Linked DNA regions of Stegostoma tigrinum. The protein of the gene in region 1 purifies or fractionates together with the protein of each later gene. This does not show direct contact. Links are inferred from orthologs where the notes say so. Each region holds a gene or a part of one and is shown in the gene's direction. Other genes may lie near its edges.

Region 1 (3,919 bases):
GGTGGGAGGAAGGTTCTTCCCCTGCCCCCACTGCATCACAAAACCAGCCCAGCTCGTCCCCTCCCCCCACTACATCCCAAAACCAGCCCAGCCTGTCCCTGCTTCCCTAACCTGTTCTTCCTCTCACCCATCCCTTCCTCCCACCTATCTTGTTTTCTCTCCATCTTCGGTCCGCCTCCCTCTCTCTCCCTATTTATTCCAGTTCCCTCTCCCCATCCCCCTCTCTAATGAAGGGTCTCGGCCTGAAACGTCAGCTTTTGTGCTCCTGAGATGCTGCTTGGCCTGCTGTGTTCATCCGGCTCCACACTTTGTTATCTCAGATAAATGAGGTGTTGTATTTTGGTAAGGCAAACCAGGGCAGGACTTATACATTGAATGATAAGGTCCTTTGTGAGCCACAAACAGACTTTGAGGTATGGGGTTCAGAGTTACTCAAAAGTGGAGTTGCAAGCAGACAGGGTAGTGAAGAAGGCATTTGGTACACTTGCCTTTATCGGTCAGTGCACTGAGTATAGGAATTAGGAAGTCATATTGCGACCGTACAGGATATTGGTTAGGCCAATTTTGGAATACTGCGTTCAATTCTAGCCTCTCTGCTATAGGAAAGATGTTGTGGAACTTGAAACTGTTCTGAAAAGATTTATAAGGAAGTTATCAGGATCAGAGGGTTTGAACTTTGGGGAGGGCCTGGGGTTATTTTTTCTGGAGTAACAGAATCTGAGGGGTGACGTTACAGAGAGTTATAAAATCATGAGGGGCATGGATAGGATGAATAGCCAATGTCTTTTCCCCTGGGTAGGGGAGTCCAAAATTAGAGGGCATAGATTTAAGGTGAGAGGATAAAGATTTAAAAGGAACGTAAGAAGTAACTTTTTTACATAGAGTATGGTGTGTGTATGGACTGAAGTACCAAAGGAAGTGGTAGAGCTGGTACACTTACAACATTTAAAAGTCATACATTTCGCCGTACGAAAGGAATACGTTCCGAAAGCTTTTGATTTCAGTTGGACTATAACCCAGTGCCATGTGACTTGGTCCACCCCAGTCCAACACTGTCATCTCCACATCTTGGCTAACATTTTAAAGGCACCTGGATCCGTATATGAATAGGATGGGTTTAGTGGGGTATGGTTTAAATGCTGACAAATGAGACTGGATTAATTTAGGATAGCCGGTCAGCATGGACAAGTTGGACAAAGGATCAGTTTCCATCTGACTCATATTGGCCTGGAAACGTTTATTAACTCTTCTCTCTCCATTGTTGCTGCCAGACCTGCTCAATTTCTTTGTTTATATTTCACACTTCCAACATGTGCAGCATTTTGCTTTCCTTTAAAAGAAACTGATATTGTTGATAAGGAGCGCTCTCGGAGGCACAGTTATATTTGCATCACCTTAGTCTTGTCCCATATGCAAGGTGATCTAAAAGGGTGCTTTTTGATGATGAGGTAGACAAACAGGAGCCTGGAAGAACACAGCAGGCCAGGCTGCAACTGGAAGAAAGAAAGTCAATGTTTACTCTTCTTCAGGAGTGATGACCACGGTGGGGACAGATCTTTACGCCCACCTCCGTTGCTTCATGGAATAAAGGTGCAGTTCTCTGAAATTTTGTTTCATCCAGTCCTTTTCTTAGACCGCGTTTTACTTAACGGCCCATTGCATATCTGATCTTCGCTGCAAGCTAATGTCCATGCACCTTTCGGGCTCCGACCATGTAACGCAGACTGTGGCTTTAGTGACTGTCTCAATCACCGCAGATGCTCAACGGCTTAAGCTCGCGAGAGCTCTGTCCTCACGCTGCGATTTGGCGCCAAAGCACGGTCACTATGGCGACGGAGAAGGAGGCGAAGAGCCGGAATCTTCCCTGGTAAGAGCGTGCCCGGCCGAGCTCATTAAATACCCCGTGGGGCTGCGTTAACAAACCTCTGCCACCACCTGGAGTCAGCGGCCGCTGGGCTCAAGCGTTTTAATGTAACGGAAACTGTGCGAGGTCGCCGGCTTGTCTGGGGTTTCCTCACGGACGGAACTCAGGCTGTAGGGGCCTTGCTGCTCTCTTTCTCTGATTGTGTTCCTCCCCTCCTGTAGTATGTATCTGACTCTGGCGGTTTGGGTCTACTGTAACTTGCTGCCAGCCAAAGGCCTGATCCCCTGTCGGGTTCGCAGACTCGGCACTTTGTGCTTGTTGATTATAATCTCCCGATAACACGCAGCAAATGCAGTTTTTGCTTTTGTTTTGAAACAAAAAGGACTTTATTCATAAAATTTGTAAAGGTGTGCCCCATAACATTTTAAACTTCACTTAGATGTAATAGGGTTCTGTTGCCTTCAATGCATTATATGACACTGTATGGTATATACATATATATTTACTGTGCAATTCATGTCAAACGTTCTCTGGTGCATTTAGCTGGAGGGTTCCAGCTTTCATTATACTATAGTGGGACGACCATAGAGTGTGATCTTTCGCTGTTGAGATTTTGAGGTGAATGAGTAAAGTTTTAGTCTGGGTCACTCAACACAGTGCTGGATCTTGGAATTTTCTAGTCTTTAACATAGTGACGGAAAGCTGAAAAACTGACAAGTTTTGGGCAGACCAATATTTTTATATGTAGAATTAATGACCTTCTAGCAGCAACAGCAACATATGTTGTCAGAGAAGCTAGAGATGTGACCAATTTGAATCTACTCCACAATTCAGTAGGATTGTGTTTTATGCTCTATCACAATGCCTTTTTTGTTTTCTCCCCATACCCCTTGATGCTTTTAAAATCTAGAAATGTATCCAACTCTTGAACATATTCAGTGATGTGGCCTTCTCAGGTAGATTAGATTAGATTCCCTACAGTGTGGAAACAGGCCCTTCGGCCCAACAAGTCCACACCGCTCCTTGGAGCATCCCACCCAGATCCATCCCCCTATAACCGACACACCCCTGAACACTATGGGCCATATAGCATGGCCAGTCCACCTAGCCTGCACATCTTTGGACTGTGGGAGGAAACCGGAGCACCCGGAGGAAACCCACGCAGACACGTGGAGCATGTGCAAACTCCGCACAAACAGTCACCCGAGGCTCTAATCGAAACTGGGTTCCTGGTGCTGTGAGCCAGCAGTGCTAACCACTGAGCCACTGTGCCGCCCTAAAGAGAATTCCACAAGTTAATTACCGTGTGAGTGAAAACAGTCCTAAATGGTCTACCTACCCTGTATCCAGAGACTGTGTCTTCTGGTTTAATCTAGAATTCCCCAGTCAGGGAAGACATACTCCCTGAATCCAGTCTGTCCAGCCCTGTTAGAATTTTATGTTTCAATCCAATTTCATCTCACCTTTCTTTATAAACTCTAGTTTATACAGGCTCAGTCGAACCAGTCTCCTCATAGACTGACCTGCCATCCATGGTATCTGCCTAGTGAACTTCCACTGCTGTCCCTGCATGGTACTTGTATCCTTTGTTGGGTAGTGAGACCAAAACTGCTCACAATACTCCAAGTGTGGCCACACCAAAGCCTGTAGCACAGCAGTAAGACATCTGCTGAACTTAAATTCTCTTGCAGTGAAGGCCACCATATCAATAGCCTTCCTAATTGCTAGCTGCACCTCCCTGTCTACTTTCATTGATTGATGTATAAGGACACACAGATCTCTTTGTACATCCCTGTTACCTAATATGTCACCATTTAAATAATACTTCTGGTTTTTTTTTGTCCCAAAGTCACTTTAGCCATGTTGTTCTGCATCTGCCATGCGTTTGCCCACTCATTGAACTTGTCTAAATCACCTTGAAGCTTCCTTGGCACCTCCTCACATCTCTCAATCCCACCCAATTTTATGTCCTCAGCAAACCTGGAAATGTTGTATTTTGTCCTTCATTTTATAGATATTGTGAATGGTTGGAGCCCAGGCACTGTTTCTTGCAGT
Region 2 (3,919 bases), on another chromosome or scaffold:
CTGCTCTTTAAATTTAACACAGCAAGACGGTTTTTAAAAGAAAACGCACAGACTAAAGTCAGATGAGGGGAAAAAAAACGCACAATAAGTCCCTACATGAAGACTAAAAATGAAAAGAGAAGACGAGAAACTCCCATACCAGTTACCGGAGAGGTTCGCAGCGCCAATCTGGCAAAGTATTTCCTATCAGAGAGCGTTGCACGCCGCTTACAGTAGACGAATGGACGAAGCAGACCCAACTTCTAACTTTTCCAAGAGATAGTAGGAACTGCCGATGCTGGAGAATCTGACATAACAAGGTGTAGAGCTGGATGAACACAACAGGCCAAGCAGCCTGCTAGACGTTTCGGGTCTGGACGCATCTTTTTAATTCAGATTTCCGTGAAAGGGTCAGCTGAAACGTCAGCTTTCCTGCTCCTCTCAGGCTGCCTGGCCTGCTGTGTTCATCCAGCTCCACACCTTGTTGACTAACGTTTCCAAGCTGCTATCAGTTCTGAAGGGTCACTAGGCTCGAAATATTAACTCTCCTCTGTGTACGGACATTACCAGTCCTACTGAGTTTCTCCAGTCACTTCTGTTTTTTTGAGACAACCAGCATCTGCAGTTCACAGATTCATGGAAACACACGGCAAAGGGAAAAGTCCCACGGCCTATCGGATCCGCGCAGGTTTAAAATACAACCAGCTAACTATTCGAAATCCTCTTTCCAACACCTGGCCCATAGCTTTGCGTGCCTTGGTATCGCAAGTGCACATCTATGTACTTCTTAAATGTTATGAAGGTTTCCGCCCCTGTCACCTTAATGAGCTGCAGCTTCCGACCACACGGTGAAAAATATTTCTCTCACACCCCCCTCTACTAAACCTCCTTCCTCTTACGTTTAATTTATACCTCTGCCTTTGCTTTTAATTCAAAAGGTGAAGATTTTTCCCTACCTACACTCTACTTCAACAAAAAAAAATGCATCATTTACTAACCGAACATCAGCTCATGCTGAAGTAACGCCGATGATGAGAGGGGAGTGTCCCGCTGTCGTTGCTCAGCTCTGTCGCTCGCGCTCTGACAGGGCACAGCCCAGGGCCTAACGGTCGCCTCCCCGCGTCATTCGGGGCGGGGCGTTGCTCATGATTGACAGCGACCGGGAGCCAATCCGTTGATGGTCTTGCCCCCGAGTGCGCGGGGCGGAGCCAGGCCTATCCGGGGCGGGAACGGAGGCGGGGATCAGTCTCGGATTGACAGGCGAGCGCTGCCGGCTGTTGGGGAAGGGCGGCGGGTCAAAGGTCAGACTCAGTTGGCGCCATTTCTCGGGGTTTCGGGCGCGTCTTTCAAAGAGATTTTATGTCTTTACCCCCCCTCCCCCGTCCCGACTCCCGTTTTAGGAGGGGTGGGGGGAATATTCAAGGCAACGGGTAGAGTAACAATTAATTGGGAGTTTCAGTCTCATGTTTTTCGTAAAAGGTGTAGCGTAAATTTGATCTGATGTGATTGATTGTTTTGTTTTCATTTTTAAAAGAAAGCAAATTATAAGAAGAGGCCTCTCGGGTGAGGGCCCCACTAATGTTGTAAAAGGGGGCCACCGAAATGTGTGTTCACAGATTTCGACCTGAGGTTTCTTAAAGGCGAGTATTTGGCTTTGAATATGGCTGTCTGATCTGTTAGTATTTGTTGGAGACACTTGTTTCCATAATCAGAAATGCGTTTTATATCATTATCTCTTTGTAAACATGAAAAAAAATGACAACTTACTTAACCTATATATTGTTGAATGCCTGTCCAAGATAACCAGCTGGAGCTCTTTGCTATTAATGTTCTTCACTGGTCTTTTATCAGGTTTGTGAATGCCCAGGGTAGGGGAAGATTAAACTGATATGGTTGGGATTATTGCTATGGCCAGAATGGTGGAGGAACATGATCAGGTGAGACTATTTGGATTGTCATTTAACTTCCTTTCAAATGTCTTTTTGGACGTAAAATTGAAATAGTTGTTGTCATTCACATTGGAGTGTACTGTACTTCACGTTTGTTGATGATCTACTACAACTCACTGATTACATAGGCAGTAATAGTGTTGCAGTCATTATAATAAATGACTTCTATAAAAGTCACTTTGGATCAAAGGGGTGCCATACTGTGTCATTTGGAGATTTTATGACGAACCAAGGAACTGAAAAGCCTTCAGCTGGAAAAGCAGCAGAACTGACTGAGATAATCAAGGAAAGTAAGAAGCTTCCCAAGACAGTGATTAATTTTGTTTGTTTGTTTTACAGCCGTGCAAGAAACAGAAGAAAGATGCAGAGGATTCCTACACAAAAACAATTACAAGCTACTTTTCACCAGTATCCAAATCCCTCGACATGGCCTGCCCATCACCCAAGTCCGGTAACATAATGGATTACTTCAAGAAAACTCCTGGACAAAATGTTGCTTCAGTTGCATCGAGTGAATGTGAACGAAAGAATTCAGCGGTAATATCTGTAGACTACAGTAGGGAATCAGTTGTAGTCTCTGAGGGGAAACACCAAATCTCCAAAAGGAAAAGACTCAGTAGAAGAACTAACTTAAGCCGGAAATTGAATGAATGCCGCAAGATTGTTGAAATCAATGATTCTAGTAACTGTAGTGTTGGAGAGGTGTGTGACGTAAGGTCAGGCATTGGAGTTCTTGGCAGTGATACAGCTGCATTGATTGCTCAGCTTTGTGCAGAAAGCCAAGATATATTTAAAGAGAATGAGGAAAGTGTTTATATGAGTTCCAGTACTCTACAAAGAGAGATAAAAGGACAGAACAGAAAGGACACTTGCAATGAAGTTGTCAGCCATTCAAGTAAAAGAATCACCAAAAAAACACGGAAACGAAAGGCTTTGAGTAAACCTGAAGGTTCTTCAGAACAGTCCGATGTTGAACTTGTGACAAAGGATGATTACTGTGAGGAGGGGATCGAAGTAGCAAAGTCTAAAGGGGCTACTATCCCCATGGTTCTTGAAAATGAAAAAATACATTTCAGTGAGACAGGTTTGGAACCACCAGCCAATGAGACTCCTCAGGCAAATGACAGCACTGTTACTGTGTCATTCGAAGATTTTATGAAGGACCAAGGAACTGAAGAGCCTTCAGCTGAAAAAGCAGCAGAGGCCAACTCTGAGATAATTGAGGAACGTAACAAGCTTCCCAATTTAATAGAAGACATGAGTTCAGTTTCTCCTCAGCCAATCTCCCCAAAAACTGTTACTGTCCATGTTCAAATTCACTCTAGTCCTCTAGCTACCTCAGCTCAAAATTCCAAAGTGAAACAGAAAAAAATAGCCTCAATTTTTTTGAGAAAGAAAGCAGACTCTGAAAGTGAAGTGATTGAAATCCAACAGCTGAGCCCACATCCTGCTGAGAGCCATGATTCAGTTCCTGCAAGGAGATCCAATGTGGTGATAGCAGAGGAGGAGTTGGAGCTATTGGTATTGGATGCCACCGAAAAGAGTCCTATGAAGGCCAAGTGTAGTCGAGCTGAAAGGGAACAATTTATGAATGCTTTCAGGCGACCGCCCTCTTCAGATCAGGCAAAAAATGCACTTAAAAGGGTAACGCAGAAGTCAAAAGCCTCCAAGCAAGGTTTAGCACAAGGTGAAGGTAGTGATGATGAGCCCAATCTTGAGAAGGGAAAAGGGGAATTCGTCCAGACTACAAATGCTGAGATATCAAGCCAAGTCTGCAAAGATTCAAGGGTGGAAAGCAGAGAGTCTGTAGGTGCAACTTTGAAGAAGAAGAAAATGTTAAAACTCAGAAAACTTAGAGCTGAATGTAAAAACCTAGATAGTTGTGAAACAACGGGAGAAGAATTTAATCCTGATCTGAATCTGGGCTGTGTCACAAGTAAAGAATCCAGAGACCGAATGCCTTTGGATCTAACAACAGCGCGTTCAAATGA

Evidence for each region.
Region 2: the proteins of rfc5 (region 1) and atad5a purify together in Homo sapiens (affinity purification with mass spectrometry; 4 studies listed by BioGRID and IntAct, counting the BioPlex papers as one, with this or other methods). This does not show direct contact. The link is inferred for Stegostoma tigrinum from reciprocal best matches to the Homo sapiens genes RFC5 and ATAD5.

What each region holds. Positions count from the first base shown.
Region 1 is NC_081379.1:34,697,474-34,701,392, reverse strand, and holds the start of rfc5 (replication factor C subunit 5), read left to right. Parts: upstream 1-1,742; 5' UTR 1,743-1,757; coding exon 1,758-1,867; intron 1,868-3,919. UniProt on the Homo sapiens protein: Subunit of the replication factor C (RFC) complex which acts during elongation of primed DNA templates by DNA polymerases delta and epsilon, and is necessary for ATP-dependent loading of proliferating cell nuclear antigen (PCNA) onto primed DNA.
Region 2 is NC_081375.1:3,873,267-3,877,185, reverse strand, and holds the start of atad5a (ATPase family AAA domain-containing protein 5), read left to right. Parts: upstream 1-1,305; 5' UTR 1,306-1,619; intron 1,620-1,830; 5' UTR 1,831-1,868; coding exon 1,869-1,916; intron 1,917-2,267; coding exon 2,268-3,919. UniProt on the Homo sapiens protein: Has an important role in DNA replication and in maintaining genome integrity during replication stress.